Ovis aries: one gene and its partners. The protein of the gene in region 5 interacts with the protein of the main gene of each other region in a pairwise test. Links are inferred from orthologs where the notes say so. Each region holds a gene or a part of one and is shown on either strand. Other genes may lie near its edges.

The links.
Region 1: the proteins of BIRC2 (region 5) and GCC1 interact in binary tests that used the Homo sapiens proteins (3 or more experiments, as listed by UniProt). The two-hybrid records come from large-scale screens. The link is inferred for Ovis aries from reciprocal best matches to the Homo sapiens genes BIRC2 and GCC1.
Region 2: the proteins of BIRC2 (region 5) and HSP90B1 come close enough for resonance energy transfer, tested with the Homo sapiens proteins (2 studies listed by BioGRID). The link is inferred for Ovis aries from reciprocal best matches to the Homo sapiens genes BIRC2 and HSP90B1.
Region 3: the proteins of BIRC2 (region 5) and EXOSC5 interact in binary tests that used the Homo sapiens proteins (3 or more experiments, as listed by UniProt). The two-hybrid records come from large-scale screens. The link is inferred for Ovis aries from reciprocal best matches to the Homo sapiens genes BIRC2 and EXOSC5.
Region 4: the proteins of BIRC2 (region 5) and TSGA10 interact in binary tests that used the Homo sapiens proteins (3 or more experiments, as listed by UniProt). The two-hybrid records come from large-scale screens. The link is inferred for Ovis aries from reciprocal best matches to the Homo sapiens genes BIRC2 and TSGA10.
Region 6: the proteins of BIRC2 (region 5) and PPM1K interact in binary tests that used the Homo sapiens proteins (3 or more experiments, as listed by UniProt). The two-hybrid records come from large-scale screens. The link is inferred for Ovis aries from reciprocal best matches to the Homo sapiens genes BIRC2 and PPM1K.
Region 7: the proteins of BIRC2 (region 5) and NMB interact in binary tests that used the Homo sapiens proteins (3 or more experiments, as listed by UniProt). The two-hybrid records come from large-scale screens. The link is inferred for Ovis aries from reciprocal best matches to the Homo sapiens genes BIRC2 and NMB.

The regions. Positions count from the first base shown.
Region 1 is NC_056057.1:93,527,635-93,532,196, forward strand, and holds the start of GCC1 (GRIP and coiled-coil domain-containing protein 1), read right to left. Parts: upstream 2,927-4,562; 5' UTR 2,505-2,926; coding exon 1,473-2,504; intron 392-1,472; coding exon 1-391. UniProt on the Homo sapiens protein: Probably involved in maintaining Golgi structure.
Region 2 is NC_056056.1:173,219,332-173,223,255, reverse strand, and holds part of HSP90B1 (endoplasmin), read right to left. Parts: intron 3,890-3,924; coding exon 3,752-3,889; intron 3,663-3,751; coding exon 3,585-3,662; intron 3,453-3,584; coding exon 3,387-3,452; intron 3,086-3,386; coding exon 2,816-3,085; intron 2,549-2,815; coding exon 2,303-2,548; intron 1,806-2,302; coding exon 1,669-1,805; intron 341-1,668; coding exon 262-340; intron 175-261; coding exon 19-174; intron 1-18.
Region 3 is NC_056067.1:50,092,926-50,097,530, reverse strand, and holds the start of EXOSC5 (exosome complex component RRP46), read left to right. Parts: upstream 1-1,591; 5' UTR 1,592-1,592; coding exon 1,593-1,926; intron 1,927-4,605. Other genes in the region: BCKDHA (2-oxoisovalerate dehydrogenase subunit alpha, mitochondrial), read right to left, coding at 1,173-1,280. UniProt on the Homo sapiens protein: Non-catalytic component of the RNA exosome complex which has 3'->5' exoribonuclease activity and participates in a multitude of cellular RNA processing and degradation events.
Region 4 is NC_056056.1:102,212,912-102,216,835, reverse strand, and holds part of TSGA10 (testis-specific gene 10 protein), read right to left. Parts: intron 3,709-3,924; coding exon 3,643-3,708; intron 2,555-3,642; coding exon 2,387-2,554; intron 1,733-2,386; coding exon 1,577-1,732; intron 1-1,576. UniProt on the Homo sapiens protein: Plays a role in spermatogenesis. When overexpressed, prevents nuclear localization of HIF1A.
Region 5 is NC_056068.1:6,039,763-6,043,686, forward strand, and holds part of BIRC2 (baculoviral IAP repeat-containing protein 2), read right to left. Parts: 5' UTR 3,869-3,924; coding exon 2,968-3,868; intron 2,875-2,967; coding exon 2,775-2,874; intron 1-2,774. UniProt on the Homo sapiens protein: Multi-functional protein which regulates not only caspases and apoptosis, but also modulates inflammatory signaling and immunity, mitogenic kinase signaling, and cell proliferation, as well as cell invasion and metastasis.
Region 6 is NC_056059.1:37,114,360-37,119,046, reverse strand, and holds the start of PPM1K (protein phosphatase 1K, mitochondrial), read right to left. Parts: upstream 3,094-4,687; 5' UTR 3,025-3,093; coding exon 2,973-3,024; intron 1-2,972. UniProt on the Homo sapiens protein: Serine/threonine-protein phosphatase component of macronutrients metabolism.
Region 7 is NC_056071.1:21,628,935-21,633,475, forward strand, and holds the start of NMB (neuromedin-B), read right to left. Parts: upstream 3,068-4,541; 5' UTR 3,019-3,067; coding exon 2,862-3,018; intron 2,231-2,861; coding exon 2,058-2,230; intron 261-2,057; exon of another isoform or gene 179-260; intron 49-178; coding exon of another isoform or gene 44-48; coding exon 1-43. UniProt on the Homo sapiens protein: Stimulates smooth muscle contraction. Induces sighing by acting directly on the pre-Botzinger complex, a cluster of several thousand neurons in the ventrolateral medulla responsible for inspiration during respiratory activity.

The DNA of each region.
Region 1 (4,562 bases), on a different chromosome or scaffold from region 5:
TCTCCCCATCAGCAGCCTCGGAGCTGGGCATTATCTCCAGGTCGCAGAGCTTCTCCACATCCAGGGTCACCTGGCTCTTCCTGGCCGCCACCTGCAGCAGCCTCTTCAGCTTCTCCATCTTGTCCTTCAGGACGTTGACATCCAGACTGGACTCCTCTCCATGGCTGTCCAGGGGGGACCGGCTGGAGGCCGCTAGAGCCAGGGTTTTGTTCTCCAGGTCCAGCTGCAGAATGCGCTCCTTCAGCTTCTGGATGGCCAGCTGGTCCTTCTGCTTGGCTTTCTCGTAGGTGCCCAGCAATTCCGACACCTGGGATATTTGATTCTCCAGGGCCGCCACCCTCTGCTCTTCCAACTGAGACTGCTGGCGCAGCTGATCCTCAGCGAGGGCTGTCTGAAAAAACAAGGGAACAGGTGGAGATGCATCCAGAAAAGCCACAGGGTCGGAGGGTCAACTTTAAGAAAGCAAGAGAGGGAGGACAAAAAGGTTATGGGATGCAGGTGGCCTGGAAAAAAATGGGAACTGGGAAGCTTTCTGAGTTTGGGAGCTAACCCAAGCTCCTGTAACTTGCTCTCAGACACACATTATACCCAATGATATTAAGAGTCTTTGGAGATCTGCTACTGTTCTGCTTTAGTGTTTCTACTCTCTCCACCCATACACCAAGCTCACGTGTAAGTGTGCTGTTCACCATATTACATTCTTTTCCTCTTCCAACATTCCTGGAAGTTCAGAGTTGGCTTGGATCTCTCCCCACGCTGAAAGGAGGCACTGGAAAATAGCCTATCTTTCCAGACATGGCAAATATTGACTGCAAGCAATAGAAGAGGTGATTTCTTCTATGAAAATTCCCTTTGTCCCCTCCAGCCACCCTACCTACAGGCATCCACTGCTACCCATAGATAGGCATACTGCCATAAGCCCCCACTCCACCTTCCACTGCACAGCCGCTGCTACACTGCTTCACAGAGCACAGCTGGGAAGATGCCATGCCCTGACACTCAGATCTGTCTAGCTCCAACTTCAGACTACACTCAGAAACTCCACATCCTGTTGGAAGCACTCTGTGGATACTGTCAACACCACACAGAAAAGGATTTCTCAGGACCCACAAGTGAAACTTTTCGAAGCGCATAAAAAACCAACAGTGCAGGCACTTAGTTCTGTCAAAGGAGAAAAAAAAAAAAAACACTAATATTTCCCCATGTGTCACAAGTGGTGTGTGCTGACTCGTGTCTGACTCTTTACTTCCTTATGGACTGTAGCCTACCAGGCTCCTCTGTCTATGTGGTTTTCCAGGCAAGAATACTGGAGTGGGTTGCAACTTCCTACTCCAGGGGATCTTCCTGACCCAGGGATCAAACCCATATCTCCAGAATCTCTTCCATTGGCAGATGGATTCTTTACCACTGAGCCACCTGAGAAGCCACTTTAAGTTAAATGACTCATGTTTGAAAGAGATGAAGATAATTACCTTTCTCATTTCCTGCTGCAACTGAGCCTGGAAATGGCTCTTGAGGCAGGCAGCCTCTTCTTGAAGCTCCTTCAGCCGGGGGTCAGGCTGATTCTTCTCATCTCGAAGAGCCTGAAGCTCACCTTTCAGCTCTTCCACCTCACGGGTCAGTTGCTTGGTCTGCAGTTCAAACCCTTCCATCTGACCGGCTGCATAGGCCCGCCCGGCCAGAGCTTCCCGAGTCTCTTCCAACCGAAGCTCCAAGTCCTGGCGCTGGGCCCTCTCCTCCTGCAGCAGTTTCTGGAGCTCACGCAGCATCAAGGCATGGTCGCTCTGCTCTTGGGCCCGATCATGTTGCTGCGTGATAAGCCGGGCTTTGGTTTCTGCTATCTGTTCCTGCAGCCCCTTCAGTTCTCCCTCCAGCCGGCCCCTCTCCTCCTCTGCTTTCTTACTGGCATCCTCTAAGTCCTGCTTCATCTTCTTTTTGTCCGCCAGGTAAGAAGCTTCCATGCGGGACTTCTCCTGGGTGACTGTAGCCAAAGAGCTGGTCAAAGTAGCCAACTGAGTCTTCAGCTGGTGCAGTCGTTTGTCCACCTCCCCACCCCCAGATGGTCCGTCCCCACTACTACTGCTAACGCCACTCTCTGACCCGCTGGCCTCTTCCAACTTTGGAGGAGGTGGTCCACGGGCCAGTCTGTCATCTTCTACCCCAAACTCACCCTTGGTGCTGGTGATACTGGCCGCAGTATCCAGGCTGGCGGCGGTCCCTGTGCTATCCTCGCTGTGAGTGGAGCATCGGTCATCCACAGAGTCAGGAAAGGTGAGGCCTTGAGGCTGCACACCTGCGAGGCCTACATCCGCCTCGTGGGATACAGACAGTACCTTAATGCTGGCCTCCAGCGCCTCTTTCTCCTTCAGCAGACTTTTATAGGCAAGGACTACATCCTTGAGACGAGTTTGGTACTGGAGGAGCTGCTTCTTCTGAGTCTCAATGGTCTCCAGCAGGTCCTTCTTGCTTGGGCCGCCCCCGAAATTCATTCCAAACTTCTCCATGAGGGTTCAGGACGGGTTGCTCCAGGCCAGGGTTTGGACAGGCTGGGAGAGCGTCACGAAGATGCTAGCAGGGGTTGTATGCGACGGGGAGATAGCTGTCCCCCTCTGCCGCACATCCGCTCCAAGCAGCTGTTTGAGACCGGATGCAGGGCGGCGGGGCAGCAGGGCAGAAACGCTTGCCAGGTCCCAGACAGGAGGGCGGGGGCGGGTCCTATCCTAGAGGCGGGGCGACGCTGGCACAAGAAGGGCACACTGCCAGGGCTCGCCCGCACTGCCCCAGAAGCCGCTCCGCGCTCCCCGCTCACCCAGCCACAGCAGCACCGGCCCGGCCCCGGCGCACTACAGGCCAAAGGTTTAAGATGAGCGTAGCTCCATCCCGACTTCCTAACTCTAGCGGCTGGGACAACGGCGCTTCCGGGTCTGCTGGAAGTGACGAGAGCGCGACGTATTGAGCCCCGCCCCCAGTGGGCGCGAGGTGGGCGGGGCTACCTCAGCCGGCTGGTGGGAAGAGAACCCAGCAGGGCTGAGAACTGGTCACTCTCCGGCCGAGTGCTGGTTCCTCTCCACCACAGCAGAGCAAGCAGAGTCGAGTACACCGGAGTCATGTTGGTTTGCTGAAGGCGCCTGATCTTGCTCTAGCGCTAAGATCAGCGAGGGACGGGGGCGACATTGTAATGAGCCCTTACCAAAGACTCGGGTAAATGACAGGCCCCACTGTTTGGGTGCTCAGTACCGTTGTCCTTAAAGAGCAACAGTTAAGACTACCATTTAGACCACAAAGATGACAACCCTTTCTAGGACAGTATTTGACACCTAGACGGTGTATAATTATTATTACACCTTTCCTGAGTTCTGCTGGGTTCATTTAACAAATATATATAAATAAATATATATAGGCATCATGTCCATTCTAAGTGCCACCTATATTTCAGAAGCTTCACAAGAGTTTTGCTATTTAGTCTTTATAATTAATCTGCTGAGCATCATTAGCACTATTTTACAGATAGTGCAACGTGAGGCACAGAGAAGTTAAGTAATACACCAAGGTCACATAGCCTTGGGTTTAGAATCCCATGTAGATCGGTCTGATTCTCAACATACCAAGTGCTATGCCAGGTGATCACCAGGAAAGGACAAGCTCCTACCCTCAAGGAGCCCACATCTAGAGAAGCAGCAGCCATGCAAACACAAGTATATTCAAAGTGATACTGAAGTTAAGAGGAGGGAGCCCTGTCTAAGGGAAACAGCGCAGGCTTTCAGGGGAAATGAGTTGGAATTTGAAGAGTAAGTACTGATTGTCCATCTAACTAGAAATGAGGGAAACAACATTCTGCTAACTGCTGCTAAGTCACTTCAGTCGTGTCCGACTCTGTGCGACCCATAGACGGCAGCCCACCAGGCTCCCCCGTCTCTGGGATTCTCCAGGCAAGAACACTGGAGTGGGCTGCCATTTCCTTCTCCAGTGCATGAAAGTGAAAAGTGAAAGTGAAGTCGTTCAGTCGTGTCTGACTCTTGGCGACCCCATGGACTGCAGCCCACCAGGCTCCTCCGTCCATGGGATTTTCCAGGCAAGAGTACCAGAGTGATGTGCCATTGCCCTCTCCAAAACAACATTCTAGGCAGAGGGAAAACTTGCAAGGACTCTGGAGCATCAGAGAGTTTGTCTCACCTGGGAAGCATTGAGAATCATTTCAAGGCAGTAGCTTAGGGTATGCAAAGGGGCTGGCAACAGATACTGCTGACACAATAGATGAGCACCCAAATTAAGGTATTTGGATTTTACCTTTGGTTATAAGACACTAAAGGATTTCCATCACAAGAGTGGCATCAAGTCTTATATGACAAGGTGGAGATACCAAAGTGCAGAAGACCATTTTCAGTCATGGGGATCAAATGATAGTGAAATAGAGCAATGATAACAGGAATGTAAAGAGGCTAATTAAAAAGGATGAAATAATGCCATTTGCAGCAACATGGATGGACCCAGAGAGTGTCATACTGAGTGAAGAGAAGGAGAAATAGCGTATGGCATCCCTTATATGTGGAATCTAAAAAGAA
Region 2 (3,924 bases), on a different chromosome or scaffold from region 5:
CAGTAAGTTACATCAAACCTTTGCGTCAGGGTCGATGTTTAAGCTGAGGCGAAGCATTCTTTCTATTCTGTCTCCATATGCCTTAGTGTCTGGTAAAAGATACCCTGACCGCAGTGTTGCTGTTTCAAACAAAACTACAGCAAGATCCAAAACAGTTTTGTCATCTTCATCTTCCTGAAATGAAAGGAGTCACACACTTTATTAATACTAAAGGGTCAAAAGAAGTCAAATTAAAAGGAGTAAGGCCGTGATATTGCTCACCTTAACTCTTCGAAGCATGTCTCTAATCAGTGGGTGTCTGGGGTTAATTTCAAATGTTTTCTTCTGGCTGGCATAATAACTGTTACAGAGTAAAAATGAACGTTAATATATCAAATTTGAGGGTCCATACATTTCCCATATTCTAGTATAACATATAATTACAGATAACTTTTTAAAAATCAAGACATGCTTATATATTGTTAAATCACGCTTTCCCTTTTAAAGGGCAATGTACATGGTTAGATCAAATAGTACAATAAAGAACTACTTTATTTCCTAATGAATCCCAAGTGCCTTTTGATGAGTGGATGAACTGATTTAATGTCCTGTTCTTCCCCTCTTAATGTATTCACTATCATAACTGCAGCTGTGTCTCCCCAGAGTTCTGGAACAGAACAGGCTCTGGGTGCTGCTCAAGTAACACCTTCTCCATGATGCCTCAACCAATATGGTTCCAAGAAAAATGGCATCTTTTCACTAAGCTTGGCGGCAATACATTTTGGGTGTACCTTCATCATTGTTAGCATCCTAGCTGTCCTCCGTGACTGCCCTCCTTCCTACAGCTGCAGGCTGAGGACAGAAGGAACCCTTCTCCCTATATCTTGGCATACCTATCATACACACAGGACTTACAGAATTATGCCTTGATTTCTCTATCCTGACTAGTCTGAACATTGCAAAAGAGAGTAGTGATGTTTACTGTAGAGCATCAGTAAATAGACACATTAGGTGCTCAAATGTTTATTAGATAGAATTATGACAATGTAACCTACACTTAGGAGAAGAATCCTTAAGCTATGCTTGGGGGAAAAAAGTGACAATAGGTAGGTAGTAAGAAGATAGTCCAGGTTGAAGAGAGAATAAAAGCAAGGAAGAAGTCATTTTCAAAACTATTGTTGTTATGTTCAAATATAAACCTGAAATACATATTTCTTAAAAATAAAGGGTACCAAAGACCTAGTGTACCTCCAGTACTTGGTCCTTGAGTTCAATTGCTGTTTGTGCATCTTCTACCCTGTATTTAGTGGAGAATACTACTTGGGGGTAGAAGGGGTAATTAAAAAGGATTTAACTCATTTAAGAAATGTAACTGTCATTAACTTCATCTTTAACTATTATTTGAAAATGTAAAGGCAGTCCAGATACTAGGCCAAGCAGAAAATCTAATGCTGAAAGACATTATATGTAACAGATAAGAAAATTTCCATCTATATACAAAATACTAAATATAAACCACAAGTGCAAAACCTTTTCTTTAGTAATCTAATCATATTGTCAGCTTCTCTATAATGGAGGGTGGTAGACACTTAAAACCCATTAGTTCTTTGTGTAGAAGCTGTGTTATCTTCTAATGGGAGGCTGGGCGAGAGCTTACATCCTGGCAGGGCCTTCCCTGAGGATGCTTACTTGGTTGAGATGTCCTTGCCTGTCTGGTATGCCTGGGCTTTCATGATCCTTTCCATGTTGCCAGACCACCCATACTGGCTGGCTACCAGAGCACATGGAGATTCTGTCAGGCGCTGAGACACCACAGCCTTCTCGATCTTTGGAGGAGAAAGAGAAAGTTAGTTATCTCTAAATATCAACAGTAAAGGTTGTCAAGTAATTGCATTTCAATTCCTTAAGGACTCATCACTTAAAATCACAAACAAGCAGATCAGAAAAGTACCTCTCATTCAGATTCTTAGGAAAACTATCATTTCATAACTGAATTTCTTAGTCACAAATACTTAAACACAAACTTTCAAAAACATATACAACTTAAGTTTAACCTGTAAAATTTTAAGCTATTGTAAAAACAATATTAAATTATGAAAAACTTTCAGTTACAAAGGAAAAAAAAGTTACCTACATACAGAATAATCACATATCCCTGTAATTGTTCAGTTAAATTTTAAGCTTGTCCTCCCAATAATGTAACAGTATTAAGTGTTCTGTATAACTTTTAATGACCACAAAAGTAACCAGTTACAAAGTTTAATTTGCTAACAAAACAATACACAGACGCTAAAATTTTCAGTGTTTCTAATTTCTAGAATACCTTGTCCTTGAGGGCTTTATCTTTCATCCAGTTTAGCAGAGGCTCAAATTCTTTCTCAACTGCTTCACGACTCTCCTTACTTTTCTCACTTTCATCAAACTTCACTCCTTCTTTGGCAACATTCTGGAACCTCTTCCCATCGAATTCGGGAAGAGCCTGAATGCAGTATTCATCCACAGGTTCTGTGAGATAAATCACTTCATAGCCCTTTTTCAGAAGTCGCTCAACAAAGGGAGAAGATTCGGCCTACAAAATTGAAAGAAATAACACAAATTTCCAGTTTGGGCTTAGTATGTTTTCTTCATCCAAGTAGGTACGTTAATAGAGTACCAACAATCCCGTTTTATGGGTGGGGAATTAAGAGATGCAGAGAATACAAATGACTTTTTTCCTGTCAGTGACTGACCAGGTCTCAGAACTCTTTCAGTTTACAAATTTTCCTTTTTTTCTCTCTCAAGAGTTGGCTATAAATCAATCCCTAGCTACATAGCAGACCAGTCGAAGTTTTCTCACCTCTTTCCTGCTGGCCCCAGCCATGAAGTAGATTTTGTCCTGCTTCTCCTTCATTCTTTCCACATACTGGTCTAGACTAGTCATGTCACTTGGATGATGAGAAGATTGGAATCTAAGAAGTTTGGCAAGACGTGTTCGATTTGAGTGATCTTCTATCACACCAAGCTTGATGTTGGTACCAAATTCTTTCCAAAAAGTATCATTGTATTTTTCATCAGCAATCTTTTTGATCATGTCCAGAGTTTTACGGACAAGCTTCTTTCTAATCACCTAAACAAAACGATAGAATAACTCATTAGAGAACTTCACCACAAACTTTAGAGAACCTATACTATATAAGGTAGCAGGGGAGTAGTGGAGAAAGATACAAAGACACTGGTATTTATCAAGGGGGCAGGGGATGGCCAAGTATTCCTGTGTCAGACTGAATGGAAACTTAAGTTGTCAGTGGCAGCAGTTACAAGATTGCTTTCATGTTTATATTCTAACTTTAGACCAGATGGTACATATATATGGGTGCTCACTGGACACTTTTTCAACTTCTATGTCTGAACATTTTTAAGGCACTCACCTTAAGCAGTTTATGTTGCTGAAGAGTCTCACGGGAAACATTCAAGGGGAGATCATCCGAGTCCACCTGCAGACAGCAAAAGTTCAGTGGGCAATACAAACATCAGAGAAAAACAAAATCAACCAACCGACCAAAAAAACCCCACTTTCAGACCCCCACTCTACTCCCCTCTTCCCCGAATAACCTCCAGATACTTACAACACCCTTGACAAAATTCAGGTATTTGGGCATCATATCATGGAAATCGTCTGTGATGAATACTCGGCGCACATACAGCTAAAGTGGAGACCAAAAAAACCAAAGGTCACTTTCTGGAAATCATGCTTCCAAATTTTAAACTCAGTTTGTACTATTTAAAAATTCACCTTAATGTAATCGCTCTTCTTGGATCCATATTCATCAAACAGACCACGTGGGGCAGATGTGGGTACGAATAAAATTGACTTGAAGGTAACTTCTCCTTCAGCAGTAAAGTGGATATATGCCATGGGGTCATCGCTTTCCTAGAAAGTTGGTATCTTGGTCATTCAAAAGGCAC
Region 3 (4,605 bases), on a different chromosome or scaffold from region 5:
TTAATTTTCACAACAACTCTATGAGGTGACCATTGTTAGCATTTTACAGAGAGGAAAATCAGGTCCAGAGAAGAGCAGTCCCTTGCCCAAAGCTACAGAGCTAGAAAAAGGCAGATTACAGAACACCGCCTCACATGATTTAGCACGAGCCAATCTTCTTAACCACTACTCTGTTATATGCAAAATCTCAGTTCACAGCTTTTCTCAAGTCCCCTGCCTCTGTCTCTCTAAATAGTGGTTCCCATCTACATTTCTGCTGTGCGAGCATGCCATTAGCAGCATCAATCTAAAAGGAGTCTGCTCCTTTTGACAAGAAACAAGGCATTTCTCCACTGTTTCTCAGAAATATGGAGTAAGTGCTCTGCCAGGACCTCTCCCCTCATTAGTTCAACAAATATTCACTGATCACCTCCGCCTTAGAGTGACCAAAACCAACAAGGTCCTTGGCTACCGTTCTATACCGGAGGCACAGGCGCCACGACTTTTTATAAGTATTTTATCTTTATTTATTTGGCTGCACTGGGTCTTGCAGTTATGGCATGCAGGATTTTTAGCTGCAGCATACGAACTCTTTAACTGCCGGCACGTGGGACCTAGTTCCCTGATCAGGGATGAAACCCAGGCCCCCTGCATTGGAAGCGCGGAGTCTCAGTCACTGGACCACCAGGGAAGTCCCAGAAAGATTTTTTTTTTAACGCAGTTTATTTAAAAATCAGAATTGGAGCAAAGAAACACGGGGCACCATAAAAGTCCCTGAAAGGGCAACTGATGTCTCTCTCCTCCTCCTTGAAAGTAGACCGTATTGAGAAGAAAGTCTTTCCCTTACAAACACAATTTTCTCCAGCTCCTGAGGGGAGAGGTCACACCCTTCTCCCGTATTCTCCAAGCGGCCTCCCCTGGGGATGGGCGGCAATTAAGTAACTACCTCGCTCTCTCCAAGTTTTCTCCCTCCCTTAGGGTCACAAAGGAGCTGCCTGGCTTTTCTTCTCCTAAGGAAGTGGAAGTTATTCCCTTGCATGTCCTGTCCAAGTGGTTCTCCCAGCCCTCGTCCTTTCTCTCACAGCCCTTCCTTCACTTCCTACAGGGACCTAAGGGAACCCCCTCTCTCTGAAGACTGCATAAACATTCCTATACCTCTTTCGAGAAAACTTTCAGGTGCTCCAGGTACTCACAGATCTAGCCAGCCCACGAGCCCCAAGCAGCCGCAGGAGCGGGAGGCCCGCCCGTCCCAAGCCTCGACTTGGTCTCCAAACCCTCGCCGCCGCAGCCGCCACCGCCATCTTGGCTGACCATCCCTCGGAGATCCGCCCCTCTCCTCGGCGAGACCGGGGCTGCCCCTTCATAAGCCTGACTCAAATGCCAGCAACACCCTGCCAAGAAACCATACGCTACTAGTTCTGCAGCCTCTGGGACACACATGTAGGTGCATAAAGCCACCTAACTTCCCAAAATTACTCTGACCGCCTCACGTTAGTTATTCCTGTAACCGGCAAAGAAGAGGACAACCCGTCCAGAGCCTCAGGGTTTCAGGGCCGGGGGCCTCGGGTAGGACGAGCTCATGCCAAGGCCCGCCCACTCTTCTCTTCTGTCCAATGGCTTTCCTGGACTTTCGAGGCGGGAGTGGGAGGGTCCAGATTGTTAGTAAACGCCGAGCCACGTGCGGGCGCCACTCCTGGAGCCCCCGGGTCGGCGCGTGCGTACAGCGTACGCACCTCGTACGCAAGCGCGCGCTTCTGGGAGGAAGCAACAAGCCCCGGCTGCACGTGGGCTCCGGGGCTATGGAGGGGGCAATGCAGACTGAATCGAAGATTCGGGCTGATTCTCGGACAGAGCCCGGCCCTAGGGGCCCCGGCTGTAGCCTCCGGCACTTTGCCTGCGAACAGAACTTGTTGTCCCGGCCTGATGGCTCTGCCTCTTTCCTGCAAGGTAGGAACTACTAGGTTGTATTATTTGGTGGGGCGGGGGGCGGTTACAATGTATCGCGCTAGCTGGTAAAAATCTCTCCTGAACTAGTGCAGTTCTTGCCTGGGTGGACACTACTGTATACGCAGGTAGACATATATCTCTCCCTCCAGACTAGCAAGGAGAAGATTGTTAAAGTACGCAGAATGGGAGAGGGCAGACCGCTTCTAAAGAATGAATACTCCAGAATAGGGGAAATATTCTTACCCCGGGGTCTCCCTTGACTGGATTCCTCTCCGGTTTCCCATACACGCACCCTGGGTCCATACATCCCAGGCTGAGGCAAACCTGTTTGTTTGCATAAATACCCAGTGGACTGTCAGATCACCACTTCTGGTGTACTCCCTAGCCCGGTGGCAGATCTTTTATCCAAATAGTTACTTCTCAGATGGATGGTGATGTCCCCAGCCCCACCTCTTGGGTAAATGTCCCTTTGGCTGGGATACACAACTCTGCTTATATCCCTAAGATTGGAGCAGTTCTTACCTATTAGGGAAATATCCCCTTTTCCTAGCTAAACAACTCTGAAACTAGACTCAGTTCCCTGACGCCTCTGAGGGAAATGTTCCTCTGGAGATAGGCCTAAGGGTCACCCCCATAAATGCTTCAGACCCTGCTCTAGGGCATTACCTGAAACCCAAATACAAAACCTGCTTTCATTCATTCTTTCATTGAACATGTACCTTTGCTTAGTATTGTTCTGGACACTGAGAATAAGTAAATAAATTTTTTAAAAATCCCTGCGGTAACGGATTTGACATTCTTACATTCTAGTCAGAGAGACAGGCAAAAGATAAGTAAAATATGTAGTAGAAAACAAGAAAAATACAGTAAGGGTGTAGATTGGGGTGTGCCAGAGAGGGTTGCAGTCTTAATTAGGATGGTCAGGAAAGGCATCAACTGAGATGGTACCTTTTGAATAAACACTTAAAGATGGGACTTTCCTGGTGATCCAGTGGCTAAGACTGAGCTCCCAATGCAGAGGGCCTGGGTTCAGTCCTTGGTAAGGGAACTAGATCCCACATGGTGCAACTAAGAGTTCGCATGCCCCAACTAAAGATCCTGCGTGTTGCAGTGAAGACCCAGTACAGCCAAATAAAAAAATTTTAAAGCAGTTTCTTTCCCTAAAATTGGCTTTTTGCAGGGGGAGCAAACCCTAAACAGATCAAGAGGAAAGCTTATGAAGCATTAGGAACCACAGGGCCCTGAGGCCAAAACTTGCCTGGTGTGTTTGAGGGACAGTCAGGGGGACGGGGTGCCTGCAGCGGTGACAGGAGGTGGGGTGGCGATAAGGAGACCTGCCCCTCATATAAAGTCTAGTGACTGAGAATGGAGACTTGTGACATGCTCTGAATATATATTTTTTTTATAGATTTTAGACTTTCTGGCTGCAGTGTTGATGGCAAAGGGCACGGGGGAAAGGAGAGGAGGGTGGTGCAGACCAGAGTGGAAGCAGTACAGGTGGTGAGAGTCTGAAGGCAAACTGATAAATTGCAGCTGGTTTGGTTTGGGGGTGTGACAGGGTCAGTTTTTTACCCAGACCAGCTGTGCTGGGAGACAATGAGTTCAGTTGGGAACATTACATTTGCAAGGCCTAATAGACTCTCCCATGGCAGTGTGGATTCGGCAGTCGGACATACAAGGCTGGAATTTGGGAGTCCTTTGGCAGTTCAAGCTACTGATTGGATAGAATCAACAAGAGAATCAATATAGGTGGAGAAGAGAACTTAGAACTTAGCCCTTTGCCTTCTAGCCTGGGTGGAGCTAGGAAAAGACATAGAGAAGGAGCAACTAGTAAGGTAGGAGAAAAACCAAGAGAGGGCAGCGACCTGGAGCCCAGAGAACGTGTCTGAAATGTAAGGACCAACCGTTTTGGTCCGGCTGAGAGACTGAATCGTGAGGATGGACTAGACCTGTGGGTTGACAACCTGGTTGTCTATTGTAGGTGGTGCAGCCAAGAGTCACTCTGGGACTTCCCTGGTTAAGATTCTGAGCTCGTAGTGCAGGGGACACAGGTTCGATCCCTGGTCCAGCAAGCTTCACATGCCTTGCATCACAGCTACTTGAGCCCACACACCCTAGAGCCTGTGCTCCACCACAAGAGAAGCCAGTGCAATAAGAAACCTACATATCACAACGAAGACCCAACGCACAGCCAAAAATAATAAGTAAAATGTAAAAAAGAAAAAGCTGTTCCGGTGGAGGGGTGGAGTCGAGGAAAAGAAAGAGACAGTGAGCAGAGACCGCTCTTCAGGAACTTTGCTGTAAAAGGATAAGATAGATGGGCGAGGAGTTAGATGGATGTGGGGTCCACAGGGGAGGGAATTGCTAGAGCCATGGCCTCAGGAAGATGAGAAGAGAGGCACTCTTGTGCCCAGGTGAAGCACAGACAGTGCCTTTGGAGTAACAGGAAGGAAGACCCCGGTGTGGATCTATTTCTGCTTGGACAATTTCCTCCTCCAGGGTCCATTCTCCTGGAGCCAAGAGAGCCCCTCAGTTGTATAGCAGCTCTTCCTCGCCAGCCCCAGAACAAAAAAGCCTCTGCCAGGGACCTCTCCAGGCTTAGATCTCTTGCTCAGTGCAGGTGCCTGGAGGTTCTTAGAATTTAAGAAATACTGAGCCCCTTGTGTGTTCTAAAAAAGA
Region 4 (3,924 bases), on a different chromosome or scaffold from region 5:
TCCAATACTTTGGCCCCCTGATGCAAAGAGCCTACTCACTGGGAAAGTCCCTGATCCTGGGAAAGATTGAAGGCAGGAGGAGAAGGGGACAACATAAGATGAGATGGTTGAACGGCATCACTGATTCAACGGACATGAGTTTGAACAGACTCAGGGAGATAGTGAAGCACAGGGGAGCCTGGCATGCTGCAGTCCATGGGGCTGCAAAAAGTTAGACACAACTGAGCGACTGAATAACAGGAACAAACTCGTTCTCTTGTTTGTATCTACTGGGGCTGTGGCACTACAACAACAGAGCTGAATAGCTGTGTCAGAGGTCACATAGCCTGCAAGGCCCAGGCTGCTTTTTACCTGGGCCTTCACAGAAAGTTTGAAAACTTCTGTTCTAGTCCAATCCACCTCTCTAGCCTTGGCTCCCACCTCACTCCATGGACATACACCTTTTGTTCTAGTCATAAATGGATTCATTCACATACTGTTTTTCCTGCCTTTACCCTTTGTTTTAGGTCATTCCTTTAGTTTGAATGTTCCTTCTTACCCCTTTCAAGATAAGAGAAACCCCATCTTTCCTTCAGGACTTAAACTCCATATAGTCCAGCAAAGATCTTAATTGCCATAACTAAAAAATACCTATCTCTTCTATTTCTTATAATATCTTCTAGACTACTTATGCTAAAATAACAAAAAATAGATACAACACAATATACTTCTCTTCCTACCTAGAATGTAAACATAGGAAACAGTGTCTTATTCTTTCTATCTTTTAGAGTAACAAGCCCAGAACCTTACACTTAGTAGTTGCAATTCTTAATAAAATTTGATATTTTTGAAAAAATTATGTTGGTGATACATGGGGTTTAACTGAGTAAAGAAGCTATTCGTTTAATAAGGGTTGTACAATCGTAAGCTAAAAATACACATAAACAACAAATTGATTTTACTCTCTGAAATTAGACAAATTTTATGGCAATTCCTAAAGTGATTGACAGTATACCACAAGCTATGTGTTAATATTTTTTAACCTCCAAATCCAAATCTTTTCACCATGAACTCACTGTATCCGGTTACTTTTCTCATTTCTTATTCCAAAAATTAGGCTATTTCTATGCATGTATATCATCTTTCTAGGATAAGAGGACAACACGTGTGTGTACACATACACAAATACTTCATATTTCATTAAGAACATCATAAGAACAAAGGTAATTCCCAAATGTTAGATTAATTTGATTAATAGATTTAAGTATTCTCACAGAACTTAAAGAATTTACCCATCTCTAGGAATTAAATGCTGGCTTCCCAGGTGGTCTGAATGGTAAAGAACCCACCTGCCAATGCAGGAGACATAAGAGACATGGGTTCGATCCCTGGGTCAGGAAGATCCCCTGGAGGAGGGAATAGCAACCCAGTCCAGTATTCTTGCTTGGAGAATCCCATGGACAGAGGAGACTAGCAGGCTACTGTCCACAGGGTCACAAAGAGTTGGACACAACTGAAGTGACTGAGCACGCACAAACACGCACGCAGAACTGAATGCTAGTACTTACATATCTTGTTTACGTATAAGTAAGCTTACCTGCTCATACAGAAGAAAGGTCTTGTCTCTCTCGGATGTGAGAACCTTGACATTGCCCTGAATTTCTGCCAAATGACGCTCATATTTTTCCAGCATGCATTTGAGTTCTTCACGGTCTCTTGTTGTCTTCAGAAGCTCTACATCACAGTTTGTACCCTATAATTATTACATGAGAAATCTGAATACAAGGTCCTTCCGTATACCACAGGTAAACTACATTCAATATCCTATGATAAGCCATAATGAAAAAAAAAACGAAAAGCAAAATATGTATGTATAACTGAGTTACTTTGCTGTACAGACTGAAATTAAACACAACATTGTAAATCAACTATACTTCAGTAAAATTTTTTTTTAAATGTGAAATTCTTCTTTGATATGTGTTATTAATATAGTCCATGGGGTTGCAAGGAGTTGGACACAACTGAGCAACTAACACACACACACACACACACACACACACTAATAGAAATGTCCTACTGATGGCAGCACACAATTTCTGGTTAAGCAAACATGATTATATAATGAAATAATGAAAAAAAAATTTAAAAATCACTTCTCTTTTAAACAACATCATCCCAAATTGCTCCACATTTGTCTGATTACCCTCCAACCACTACTAATGCTCGGGATAAAGGACCAATTTTGATGGTCCATGGTGCCACCAAAGAAAGCTCCATCTCCCATTTTCCTTGAGATACCAATTCATGCCAAATTAAAAGGAATTATTTCCAGATTAGGTGAATCAAAAATAAAATCCACTGCTTCAGCAACAAATTCCAAAACATTTACAAGTTTCCAAAAACCTACCCGAGAAGATGGAGATGGGCGTCGTGGGCTTTTAGATCTACTTCTGATCATCTTTCTCAAATTTTGAGCTTCACTCTTGTAGTAATCTCTGTCTGCTTCTAAAGTTTTGACAAAGGAATCAAGTCTGGAAGGAGATTTATTTTGTGCTTTTTCAGTCTCTAAAATTATCTTGCCAAGGAGGAAAAAATTAGGCCATTATTTCAAGCTAAACTATATTATCATTTTCTAAATGAAAGTTGAAAGCAAACAGGATCCTTAAAAATAATAAATTTGGTATTTTGAAATAATTCAAAAAATAATAATTCAGCAATACTTTCTAAAAAGCAGTTAGAAAAAAATTAAAAGCATTTAGATGCCTTTCTTTTCCAGGATTTCTGAATGTACTGTATTTTTATTTCACTGAAAATGTCCCTATGTTGACACAATAATTTTGAAGAAAAAATTTCAGAGGCCAGAATTGTTTCTTATAAGAGATCTAGTTATAAGTTCTAGAAATAAAATTAATTTGCTAAGAGAAACTTGTATGCTACTATTAAAGCATCTATTTATAGTTTCAAGTTTTATTCAATAACTGTTCAACAAATAAATTAATTAAATGTTGGATTAATTTAATAAATTTACTGAACAAAATAAACCGAATAAATTAAATGAATGCAGGATATTCTATGTTTGTATATACTTTCGTGCATTTCCATTCACTTTAATATATTTAGAAGCATCTGTTTTACAACATTTATTTAACAATACTTTATTGGGATAAAAGTACAGACATACTTTTAGAGAGGGTGTTTCAAATATTTTAAGCGACAACATTAAAATGCCTAAACAGAGCGACTTTCGTTTCACATTGTTAAAGAGAACATATTACTCAGAACTAAGTAACAACATTTGACTTTAAAATATTTATTATTAAGAGAGATGAGAGTTAATGTGTAAACAAATACAGCTTACATTTTGAGAATTAAATTACTCACAGACATCATTTTAATCAAGTAACAGCTAAGGACATTAATAAAACCAAGCAAAAGTTCTCTCCAGCTCTAAGAAAGGACAGACTAAGGAAAGGGAGCAAGAACAGATTCGTTCTTACAGATGGGAGGACCCTTGTCCACCACGGAGAGTGCTGATTTTAGAAACAAAACACTTCTTATTTTTCACAAATTACATGAGAGCCAAAACATATGTATAATTTTTTGCAGTCCTACGAACAGAATGAAAGTGATTCCTTAACATTTATTTATGAAAAATGTACTTACAGATCCAAGCCTTTTTACTGTATCTTCCAATACTATTATATTATTTTGCTGGCAAATGAGTTCAATCTGAAAAGCCGGAAAAAAATGCTATTTAGGTGGAAAATGTCTAAATTGATTTGTTGGAAAGAGAGCATCAGAAACAGAAGTCACTTAAAAACATGCAGACAGTAAATATTTTATGAGAGAAAAGATAATTTATTCCTTTATATTTACCTACTTTTGATGGTAAAAGAACCTAGAATGAAATGAAGCAGTTCCTTTAATGTTTTGTACAAAATACTA
Region 5 (3,924 bases):
ATCTTATTCACTGTTAATATCTCCAGCATCTAAAGTAGTATTCACAAGCATATAGGGAAATAGGTGAAAGTGATTTAGATATAAAATTCAATGATAAAATAAATAAGCCATGGGGACATAATATACATACAGCAAAAACAATGTGGTTAGAAGCAATTATGACTTTGTTGTTGAAGTGTTAGTCGCTCAGTCGTGGCCGAGTCTTTGTGAACTCCATGGACTGTAGCCCGCGAGGCTCCTCTGTCCATAGAGTTCTCCAGGCAAGAATCCTGGAGTGGGCAGACATTCCCTTCTCCAGGGGATCTTCCCCACCCAGAGATCAAACCCAGGTCTCTTGCATTACAGGCAGATTCTTTACTGTCTGAGTCACAAGGGAAGCCAAAAGCAATTTTTATACTTCAAAGAAAAAAAAAAATTTTAATATGGTCAACAATATTGCAATAACTGTATAGGGGCAGATGGTTACTAGGCTTATCATGGTAACAACATTATATATGCAAACATCAAATCAGGACACAGCACACCTGAAACATATTATGTATGTTAACTGTATTTCAATTTTTAAAAAATGATATTAGAAGGGGGAAAAAAAGATCATCATGATTTTCCACTGTTACTTCTAACTACTTATTCCTAAGACTCTTGCCACCAGATAATGCTGTGACTATCATGAATTATCATGCTCAATCAACAGGATCCCAGTATTCTTACTGGTCTGCTGCAAAATCAGCCTTTATCTACCAGTTTCAACCTCATATGTAATAACAGTACCACAATTTTTGCCTTTCTCTTTAATTTGGTTCTTCTTCGTTTTGCTTTGGATTGACTTTTCATTTGATTCCACACTGTCGTGTAAATATTAGTAATTATGAAAAAGGAAATTCTTTTGAATGATTATGAATAAAAATGTTAAGAGAGAAATAACATCAGAGGGAGAGGGAGAGGGTGGGATGATTTGGGAGAATGGGAATTCTAACATGTATACTATCATGTAAGAATTGAATCGCCAGTCCATGTCTGACGTAGGGTGCAGCATGCTTGGGGCTGGTGCATGGGGATGACCCAGAGAGATGTTGTGGGGAGGAAGGTGGGAGGGGGGGTCATGTTTGGGAACGCATGTAAGAATTAAAGATTTTAAAATTAAAAAAATAAAATTAAATTAATTTTAAAAAAAGAAAAAATAATAATTTTTAAAAAAGAGAGAGAAATAACAGAAGTAAAATAGTAGCTAGTAGGCATACAAATATTTAATAAGTGAATAAATAAACTGTGTTAAAAATACAATGATAATGATTATCCACTTTGGATTTTCATTTTCTGAGATGAAAGACTATCCACAATTGAAATTTGTTGTTTTCAGAAGTGTTTACAAAAAGTACTTCTGGCCTTTTCCCTTATGTAACCATTTCAAGCAAAACACTAATTACAGAAGTAAACCAAGATTTTGTTTGGTCTTGTTTTCTAAAGGAAAAATTATAGCAAATGAAACACTGTTAATCAGAAAGCTGTTTTTGTCTTTTTAATATAGTATTAAATTCCAAATTACAGAATAAGCCAATCTCGTAGAGCCAAGGACAATCAAGTCATTTAAAATTCTGACAACTGGGAATTTCCTGGTGGTCCAGTAGTTAGGACTTGGTGTTTTCACTGCTGTTGCCCAGGTTCAATCCCTGAATAAGGACTGAGATCCCAGAAGCCACACAGAGACGCCAAAAATAAATACAATTATGACAATAAAACATGATTTTTCCTAAAAAAAAAAAATTTAGAGATTCCTCATTATTAGGAAAGTCACTCACCAGTCGAAACATTATCTATATGATATGATTCCACTCTTATAAAGTACCTAAAATAGTTGAATTCACAGAGACAGAAAGTAGAATGGTGGTTGCCAGGGGCTGGGAATATAAGGAATTAATGAAATGAATACAAGATTCAGTTTGGGAAGATAAAAAATGTTTGGAAATTGACAGTAGTAATGAATGAGGAATAAGGTGAATGTACTTAATGCCACAAAACTGTATACTTAAAAATGGATAAAATAGCAAATTTTATGTTATGTACATTTTATAATTTTTTAAAAAGACAGTATTACCTATTCCAAATTCCTCATTTTATAGATGAGGAAAGGCTCAAAGGGGTCACATGACTTGTCCAAGTTCATACAACTACTCAATAACATTCCACCCACAGCACTGCCTCTAAATTCTTTCCAGGCTATAGTAAAAAAAAAAATAGGACATACTGGTAGAAACAGAGTGACTAAAGAGAGATACATGACATATCACAAAAAGATAAAACTGTACAGAAAAAAATAATTTACAATTATAATCACTTAAAACTGATTATACAATTAGGTTTTTATTATATGCATTTTTATATTTGTCCTATTCCTAGATTCATTTAATGTCCCTTGTTTTTCTTTTTCCTTATCTTTTCCTAATGTATCGCCTTTTTGCTCTACTTTACATATTTTTATAATACTTTAAACAAAATGGAAAATACATAAATGTAATGTATGGCCACAACTGTGAATGAGGCATCAAGAATAAGTTAAATTATATCCTGAACACATGGTTTATAAAAGAAAAAAATCACAGAATATTCTACATTTTTCTACCAAAATAACTGTTACAATTTGGTGTCTTAAAAGGCTAATTCTCTAATGGTATAAAGAAGCTTTCTTATACTGAAATGTAAACTTAAAATACACAAACATGCCTACATCTTTTACACACAGAGTTGTATATACAAATACCTTTCAAAACAATTACCTTGGAAACCATTTGGCGTGTTCTACCCATGGGTCATCTCCAGATTCCCAACACCTTAAGCCACCATCACAACAAAAGCACTTGACATCATCATTGCGACCTAAAGAAAACACAAGAATAACTGAATACACACGTGTTCTAATATATTAATCAAAATGAACTAGATAAAACATACAGCTATACATTCTCTTACCTACATAATAGAAACCAGCACTTGCAAGCTGCTCGGGCTGAACTGGTACAGTAGATGGCCAGTACATAAATGTTCTCAGGCGAGCTGCATGTGTCTGCATACTCAAATTGGAAATGCTGAACCTCAGCGTTCCCAGAGAATTTTCCAAAAATGGACAGTTGGGAAAATTTCTCTGGTGTTCTAACATAGCATCATCCTTTGGTTCCCAGTTATTTAGCGTCCCACCACAGGCAAAACAGGCTACCCTGTCTCCAGGTCCTATATAATAAAAGCCAGCTCTTGTCAATTCTGACGGTGACAGAAAGGTTAATGGCCACATTTGATAAGTAAGAAATCTCGCTTCTTCAGTACTCATGGCATAACTGTAGGGGTTAGTCCTCAGTGGGGAAAAGTCTTCGACTGCTCGAGAATTAATAGGGTTTGGTGAAAGGTTGGAATAAGAACCACTGAATGATCTACCATGTTCCAAAGTGGGTGATAATGAGTGAGTAAAACTGTTTCTCATTGGAGAAGAAGCATTCTTAGAAGTGGATTCCAGACTAGTAACAGAAACTAGATTCTGAACAAAGCTACAGCTCGGATACAGTTGTTTATGCTTCTCAATAGGATTGTCTCCTTGTTTCCAGTTATCCAGCATCAGGCCACAACAGAAGCATTTGACCTTGTCATTCACACCAGTATAATAAAAACCAGCACGAGCAAGACTCCTTTCTGAGACAGGAACACCGGTGGGGAAAGTTGAATATGTAGACATTCGGTAGAGCTCACATGAAAAGTCGTATGTCATTTTTTGTTTGTTGCCACTTGTCCAATTTGACAAGACTGTGCTATCTTCCATCACACTCTTAATTTTTCGATACGAGGGATCCAGGACAAGTCTTTGGGAGGTAGTTTTGTGCATGAGTGATTTTTACTTTTTGACAGCAAAAATCCTTTACATGAAATTTTTCTTCTCTT
Region 6 (4,687 bases), on a different chromosome or scaffold from region 5:
CCATGTTCCCAAGGAAACAGTTCAAAGAGGACTTTGTTCCCAAGCTAATTAATAACTCTGAATTAAACTTACACATCAAGAAGTTTCCTTCAGAGCTTCAAACTACCAATCAGCCGCTATTGCCACTCCCCTCCCCTAGCTCTCCAGATGCCCATGGAAATGATTAGACACTGATTAGCAGGTAGAATTTATAATGTGGGGGAAAAAAACAAAAGTCTTAAAAAAAAATCAGTGTTCTTTATAACAGAAAGAGCGGAGAACAAATTGATAAATACCTAAAAAATCTTTTATTGTCAGTTGAGGAATTAAAAATTGTCATGTGTCACATGTCATGTGTCATTGGTCATTGTGCAAGCCAAAAATAGTTATTCAGGAACACTTTATGTCAGTCTCTCAATCAGAGATCAAGTCTAGTTTATTTTCCTTTTAACAGTTATATACAATCTTTGAAAGTCAAAGTAACCCAAAAGAGTCAAAGGGCACAAGTAATTCCGCTTGAAAGCCATTTGAAGACACAAAATGTCAAAGCAAAATTTAAATGAACCAACAGCCCAAGAACACATTACGTGGCACACCATATTCTACTAGCAAAAACACTTTCCTTTTTCACATTCATTTGTTTGACCAGGCCTTCATCTTCCTCTGAATCCATGCTTTGGTTAATCTGATTAAAGTATCAGATTCTGACACAAAACTCTACTGAACAAAGTTGACTCCTGATTTAATAATATTGACTAGGAGGGGGGATTCTCAGAAAAGAGAGTTAAATGAAATAAGTTGAGAGTCCACAAGAGCAGACATTGAGATTCCACAAAAGAGTGCTGGTTAAAAAGCCACAGCCAGAGTGTAGGAAATGCATTTGGTAAACTTCTGAGGTATACACTTCGTTTAAAAATAATAGCGGTAGGAAATCCAACCAGCCCATCCTAAAGATCAGTACTGAGTGTTCATTGGAAGGACTGATGCTGAAGCTGAAACTCCAATACTTTGGCCACCTCATGCAAAGAGTTGACTCATTGGAAAAGACCCTGATGCTGGGAGCGATTGGGGGCAGGAGGAGAAGGGGACAACAGAGGATGAGATGGCTGGATGGTATCACCAACTCAATGGACATGAGTTTGGGTAAACTGGAGTTGGTGATGGACAGGGAGGCCTGGCGTGCTGCAATTCATGGGGTCGCAAAGAGTCGGACACGACTGAGTGACTGAACTGAACTGAACTGAGTGGTGAAGAAAAGCCACATATACCACTACAAGACTGCTATGCCAATTTTATACTTTCATCTTACTCCAATTTTATAATCCTGCAATGATTTAAATACCTCAGAGCTGGCTAAATGTATTTTTGGAATAGGGAGGCACTCATGGTCCCTGGCAGGAGGGTGCACTTGGGATTTGAGTTAAACTGCTCTTGACTGCTGAAAGCAGGTCAAAAGGGCAGTTTATTGATGTCATGTTAAGCACATGCCAAAATTACTCAGGAGTTCTAAGGATCAGTACTGCTCAAACCTGCTTAGGTTTATATTTCTAGCAAAAATGTTTAAGGACATATTCATATCTGCCGATTATAAAGCGGCACTCAGGTATCTTCATTATCAATAATTTCCACAATGGAAACACAGGTAATTTTAATATTCTTAAAATGTTTCTTTAATGACTCTACAAAAAAAAAAAAAAACAATTTATCCCAATAAATTCAAATATTATGGAAACCTCTGGTCTCCAGTATCCTCTTTATCAGTACCCTGCTAGGAGGAAGGGAAAGAAAATGTACTAGTCTAAATGAAGGAGAAAACAAAACCAACAAGAGAAACCCCGAATGACTCCCCTTATGTTTGACCTGAACATATGTTTAGATGTGCAAACAGAGAAAAGAACAAGGGAACAATGAAAAGTATTCATTACTCTAATCCCATAAATATTTTTAAAAACATTTCAGTTAACGTGGATACAACTCACAGAACCATGTTCCAAACCTCATTTAAGAAGAATTTTCCAGAACAACCAAGTATAAGGTGTGTATTTTTCATTTCCTCTATAGTACCTAATACAGTGTTGACATCTATACATTAAATTTTCAGTAAATTTAGTCTTTTTTTTTTTAAAAGGAGAATTTTCCTTTATATTCTATGCTACATCACTAACACCTTTCCCCTCTTCCTTCCTCTTAAGACTCCAGTCAAGTAGGTGCTTGAGTTGGTGGTCAATAGAAAGTGACTAAGGTTGCAAGGCAATGGCACCCCACTCCAGTGCTCTTGCCTGGAAAATCCCATGGATGGAGGAGCCTGGTGGGCTGCAGTCCATGGGGTCGCCAAGAGTCAGACACGACTGAGCAACTTCACTTTCACTTTTCACGTTCATGCATTGAAGAAGGAAATGGCAACCCACTCCAGTATTTCTTGCCTGGAGAATCCCAGGGACGGGGGAGCCTGGAGGGCTGCCGTCTATGGGGTAGCACAGAGTCGGACACGACTGAAGTGACTTAGCAGCAGCAGCAGCAGCAAGGTTGCAAGAAAAAAAATCTTGAAAAATTATAACTGATGTATTTTATTACACAGTGGAGTATTTTTTTTCCTAGGCTAAGACGCCACTGTTATCTTTCAAGACCATTATAATCTGTCACCTTAATTAATCATTCTGAAACGGCGGACAACCTCATTCTTTCCTCCGCACAAGCAAAGGGGATGCAAAAGACTGAAGAGGCCTTGCTGCACATTTCCAGACTGAAGCTCAGAAAGGCCGGTGGAGCTTTAGATACTCCAAATTCCCTGGCTAGTGCCACCCGGAGTCTCGCCTTTGTCATCTCCCGTGAAATCTCTAACCTACAGACAGTGGCTGCTAAAAAAAAAGTCATCAAGGGCCAGAAGGCCTTGAGATTACAGCGCTCTTTTGGCAAAGCAAAACCCACGTCCTCAGATCGACACCAACCAGGGCTCTGCATCTTTCTCTGCTCCGATCCCCTGAAAAGCTCACCCTTGGACAGTTTGGGATCCTGGGCTTGGCTGGCCGGCCGTGACAGATGCATGACCAGGGCGAAACAAGGCAGGAAGCACACCCTCAGGCGGGCGCAGCCACTGATGGCTGGGTTCCCTCCAGCACTTTCCGCCGCCCGGTCTCCGCCTCTCAACCACCCTCGCTGCGTACAGATTCCGGGTGTCGCCACGTCTCCCTCAACCCGACCCGTGCTGCAGCGGTGAGGAGGCGCTGACGCTCGCAGCATCCTCCAGCCCGCGACTCGAGGCTTCGCTGAAGGAAAGCGTGGGCTGGGAGCCCCTTCCTCCCCTCCATCAGTTCAATTCAGTCGCTCAGTCGTATCTGACTCTGCGACCCTATGGACTGCAGCACGCCAGCCGTCGTTCCTTCCAAGTTCCATTCCCTCCTTCCATCCCGGTCCAGCACATTCACGGGCAAGAGCCTCCAGCCTTCCGGCCAAGTTCAGGCGGAACGTAAAATCTCCGCAGAAAATGCCAGCAGCGGGTGGCTCAGCCGAGGTGGGCCCCGCCCCGACATGCTGCTCCAGACCTCGAGACGGAAGAAAGCTGCGCACAGCGAACCCAGACAGTGACCGCTGGGCATGCACTGAAGGGGCTGGAGAAATTAAACCGATATTTCCCCTCCTCTCCCTGGGAAATCCGTTTACTCTCCATTCCGCAGATGGGGAGCAATGGGACGTGCCCCCTCCTGTAAATAATATTATAAACGGTTAACATAAATGAAGTGCACTCTCCAAGCTCTTACCTCGTGATGGCAATATCCCTGGAAAATGTTCAATTAGCTAATGGAGGGCAGGAGAGGGGTTTTCTGTAAATAAGACTGCCTTCTCCGATGTTTTCAATCTCTGAAGCAAGCAGTTAGAACAGCCACTGGCTCAATCTGCTGGAAATTCTTGAGAATTTTTCACCCGCAGTAGGTCAGATAGAGAGGGGAAGTCTGTTCCCGCTGACTGACGGCAGCTCCAACCAACCCACGCTTCACGAGGCGGCGCGCCCGCGGCCCGGCCCTTAGTCTCAGCCAATCACAGGTTCCGACAGGACCGTGCCTCCCCGCGAGATCAGTTTGACTTGGCTGACTTTCAGTAGCTCACAGCAGAGCGACGTCGACTTGGGCCAGTCGTGGCTTATGGAGATGTCCGCCCTCTCGAAGGCCATGGCGCGCAAACCAACGAGGGAACGCCTTGGCAGTGGAAGAGAAATTTGGTACCTCGTCAGAGGACTGAAGAGAGGTGGTGTTGTGTCGCCTGGGGCAATGGAGCGGTAGTTGTAACAACTAGGAGCGAGAACGGAAAGCCAGCACTTAGCACTTTTCAGGGCAAAGGTATTGAAAGGCATCAGGTTTCATTGCTATTCTCTGAAACATTCACAGTACATCGTTCTTCCTGACTGAGCAGGCAGACATCTCATGATCCCTTTAGAATGTTTTTTGGGTTTTTTACTTTTTTTTCGGCGGCGCCCCACAGGTTGTGGGATCTTGGTTCCCTGACCAGGGATGGAACCCCTGTCGGAGAGTCCTAACCACTGAACAGCCAGGAAATTCTCATTGAGAATGTTGATTCTTTCATTTGACAAGTATAGGCATTGATATTTGTTTAGGGAGGACCTTTTGAATACCTGGCACTGGGATATAATCTTGAAGCAAATAGACATGATAGTCGCCTTCATAAAGCTGCCAGTCTACCTGAGGAGGAAGAG
Region 7 (4,541 bases), on a different chromosome or scaffold from region 5:
TGATTAATAGCATCACTTCTGCAGCGTTTGCACCAGCAGCCTCCTGTGCTGAAGGGGAACACACAGAGGAATTGGCCCCCGGGCGGGGGTGGGACAAATGATAGGGACATCCTGCCATTCCTAAGTGCAGGGCACCCACAGAGGTCGGCAGGGGCAGCCTCCCCACCCCACCCAGTACCTTTCTCCCTGAAGGGCCTGGGAGGGGTCAGGGCAGGGGTTTCCTCAACCTCACAGAGTGGTCATGACAGTCAACGGAGATCCTAGAAATTAAGTCGAAGCACCAGGCCTGACCCTGGGCCAGACACTGTTCTGACTCCCCAACCTCCAGCTCCGCCCTAGACCTCACTTCTGAAGTCCCACCCCCCAGGGCTAGGTACTGCTGCCTCTGAGATTCTAGAGTTGGTCTTCAAGTTTCAGGCCTTCAAGATCAGTGGACCCAGAGGGGCCATCATCTTCCTTCAGACCCAGCCAGCCTGAGTACGTAGCCCTTACGCCTGAGGTCTTTAGGGGCTGTGCAGCATGTGAGGTCTTAGCTTCCCAGCCAGGGATCAAACTCGTGTCCCATGCAGGGGAAGCAAAGAGTCTCAACCACTGGACTGCCAGAGGAGTACCAGGCTGGTGGTTCTGTGCATCAGGAGGGTCAAGGTTGACTGGGACTGCGGATGAACTTTCTTTAGGGAATGTCCCTCCATTCTTTCAAAATGTACACAGTATATGCTAGGCACAGTGGGAGACACACAGTTAAGTCAGCCACCGGCACAGCCAGGGAGCTCACAGACTGGTAACAGCTTCTGTTTACTAAATGTTTTCTATGCATTAGGCGTCACGCTCAGCATGTGACATAAATGGTCTCATTTAAGGGAAGTGGGACACTATTATTCCCATTTTAGGGTTGAGGAAGATGAGGCTTAGAGAGGCTACATGACATTTCTAAGGTCCCACAGCTACCAAGTAGCTGGATTATGAGCCCAGCATGCTGTCACCAGAGTCCACATTCTACTATACCTTATTATACCTTCTTCACAGAGCAACAAAGTACCAGGGAAGGTCTGTGGGATGGGGAGGTGCCAGGAGCAGAGAATGGATGAGCTGCCCCTCCGCCAGGCTGGAGACAAAGGCTGGCTTGGCTCCAGCTCTGGAGCCTTGAACCCTCTGTGTGTGCTCAATCACGTCAGTTGTATCTGACTCTCTGGGACCCCATGGACCCCGCCAGGCTCCTCTGTCCATGGGATTCTCCAGGCAAGAACACTGGAGTGGGTTGCCATGCCCTCCTCCGGGACCTTCGAACCTACATCTCTTCCATCTCTAGCACTGGCAGGCAGGTTCTTTACCACCAGCGCCACCTGGAAGCCCCCCTAGCCCAAACCCCATAGGTCAGTGGTTTACAACCAAGGGTAATTTTGGCTCCCTCCCATGACCCCTCAGCAGGGGACCTCGGGCAGTGTCTGGGAGCATTGTTGGTCGTCATAACTGTGGGCAGAGAGGGAGGCTGCTAAGCTTCCTACAATGCACAGAACAGCCCCCACAATGTAGGACTGTCCCGCCCAGAAGAGCAGGAGGGCTGGGGCTGAGAAACCCTGCCAGTGGTCACTGAGGCAGATGAGAAACTGGGAAGAGCACTGATCAAAGTGAAAGAGGTCCAGACTTGGCCCTGGCTGCTGACTCACTCTCTTCATCCTTTCTGTGGGCACCAGGGTCCCAATAAGCACATACAGGGCACAGCAAAGGTGGACAGCAGGGGAGGGGCAAGTCTGCATAGACCAGAGGGTGAGGGTGGGGTGGGAAGGTCCTGCTGGAAGAAGCTGGATAAGTCCAGGCTGCACCTTTAGACTGGGCAGTGGGTAAGGAGGAACGTCTTCCCCTACTTTTTTTGTCCCTTCGGGTTTGCTGAGAAGGTCAGCTCCCTTTTTTTGGAATCCTCCCACTTTGAGCTCTGGATCACAGGGAGAGCCTAGAATCCCTGGCTTTCCTGGGCCTCTCCTGCCCTGGCTGGGCACTCACACCCTACGCCCAACGCAGGATCCAGGGGGAGCCCTGGCTGAGTTCTCCTGGCTTACCTGGGTGTGAGGTGCTGGGACACTGAGGCTCATGCCCAGAGCTTGCTTTTGCAGGAGGACCCTGAGCAGATGATGACTCAGCTGTGGTATCTGGTCCCTCAGGGAGGTGTGGGGAGCTGTCCCCAGTAGGGATGGGCTGGGGGGCTCCAGGCTCTTCTTGCCCATGAAGTGACCTAGAAAGGAAGTGCCAAGGCACAGGGAAGTCAGGGAGCAAGGATGCTATCCCAGTGGGCAAGTCCCCATCTCTCCTGCTTCTCAGTTCTCCTTGCAGGAAGATATACACACAGTCTTTCTCCTCCTGGTCACCAGAAACCACAAAGAACCCCCAGTGGTGGCAAAACCTGCACCTCAGCTTTTCCGGAGCAGGTAGAGGTGGGTGGCGGGGATGGCACAGCTGGAAGGGGCGGTGGGAGGCCCCAAGGGCCAGGAAGAAACTCTGCCAGTTGTGCTGTCTGCTTAGGAGAGAGACGGGAAACAGCAGAGAAAGAAGTGAGGACAGGAGGTGTCTGTAAGGTGGAGGTGCAGAGAGAAGACACACTAGAGGTCGGAAGATTCAGTACAGTCTTGTCTAAGGGAAGAGAAACAGGCTGGCAGGTAGCTCTAGGGTCCAGCCTCAGCTCTGCTTTAAACCGGCTGAGTGAAAGATTTAAACCAAGTCACTGGGTCTGGGTCTCAAGTTCCCCCATCTTACTAGATGAGTTCCAGGGTCCCCACTAGCCTGGACACTAGTGTCCCTGTTTAGGAGAGGCCAGAGAAGGAAGGTGGGAGGGGCGGGGAGCGCTCGCCGGAACCCAGAAGACTCACCGGTGGCCCAGAGGTTGCCCCGCGGGTGCACTCGGATCTTGCTGGCCCGGCTGCGGGGCTCCGGGAGATCCCAGCCGAGCGGGGCGGCGCCGGCCGCGAGCAGAGCAAAGAGCAGGAGGCCGCCGAGCAGCCGAGCACCCCTCGCCCGCAGGGTCATGGCTGGGCACGGGCGACGCCTCGGTTCAGGTGCACTTTGCGCTGGCTCCAGTCCCCGGCGCGTGCCTTCCCTCCTTTTAAACCCGCGCCGCTGGGGGCGGAGCCCGCCCCGAGAAGCCCGCCCCCGGCGCGCTCGCTGCCGCCCCGGCCCCGCCCTCTCGGACTCTCAAGTCCGCTGGGGCCAGGGCCGGGGACCCCCTCGACCCCCCCCCCCACGCCCGCCCTCCTGCCCCGACGTGGGCATGGCGTCCTCGGGGTGTCCGGGCCCAAGCCCACCAACTTCAAGCTGAGGATGGGGGAAAAGCCGGCTCCCCTGGCCCTCCTCGCCACTCCCAACAGCTTTCGGCTGAAGGACGGCTTCAGGGTAGAAAAAGGGGGCGAGGATGCCTCCTTCCCGGGTAACATAGGCCTTAACTGTGCCCAGCAAAGTGCCGGGCACCAGAGGAGCTTGCCAGTCGGCCCCTCCCTCTTGGAGCATCTGACCTGCTCACCCAGCTATCTTTATGCCCTCGCTGCCGGCCAGCACTCACCAGGTCAAGCAGAAATCACAGCACATGCTCCGGATGGGAGCGCAGAAGGATGCAAGGGGAGCCCTCCTCAACCCACCTCAAATGGTGAGAGCCTGGCCTCTCAGTCGGCCAGGAGGCGAGTCAGGGGAATGAAAGGAGCACTGGACCCGGAGTCCATATACAAGCGGTGTGATCTCTCTGACCCTCACCTTCAACTGTCAAATGGGAATAACCCCAGTGCCCTATATTTAATAATTTTACATCTTTTTAGCCCAATTATTTTGTGGCAGGAAGCAGCAGTCCTACAGGACTCTCAAAGTCAGCACTCTCAAGGAGCCGTCCATGCTTGTCTTGGAAAGAACATTTAGGTCAGTGGCAACACTTAATGAACAGAAGAGGCTGTGCTCCAGAATAATACATTTATTTTTCCTTAAATGTTTACCAAACACCAACATTCAGAGCACCATGCTAAGGACAGGAGGGGAGACAAAAGACAACAATCTGCTTCCACCATAGCTGACCATCTCATTGGAGAGACAGAGTACAAAAGCAGTTAATGACGGAGGCGCAGGTTACCAACCAACCCCTGGGCTCTGGACTCTTCTCAGAAACACTGCACAGTGTGGCTGTGAGAGAACCTACTCCCCAGACTGGCTCAATAACGGTACCTGCTATTATTACTCTTGCCATATCTAGCTCAGCAAGGCTCTGTGGATCACCATCTTAGAAGGGAAAGTGTGTACAAGAAGCTGACTGTCATGCTGAGATCCCAGAAAGCATGACAGGCAGGACAAGGACACTCCGTTTTGGGCCCAGGCTTTCTTCCCACTCTCCCTGCTTCTCATCTCCCACCCTGGCATTTACACCTCTCTGTATTCTTGTCACTGCTTCAGCCATAGTGTACAGATATAGCTCGCATCACCTTCCCGTTATAATCGTCCCTTTTCACTCCCCCCCCCCCCCCCCACCGCTTGCATCACACATCCCTCCTGTCTTCTCTAGTCCTCGGTCACAG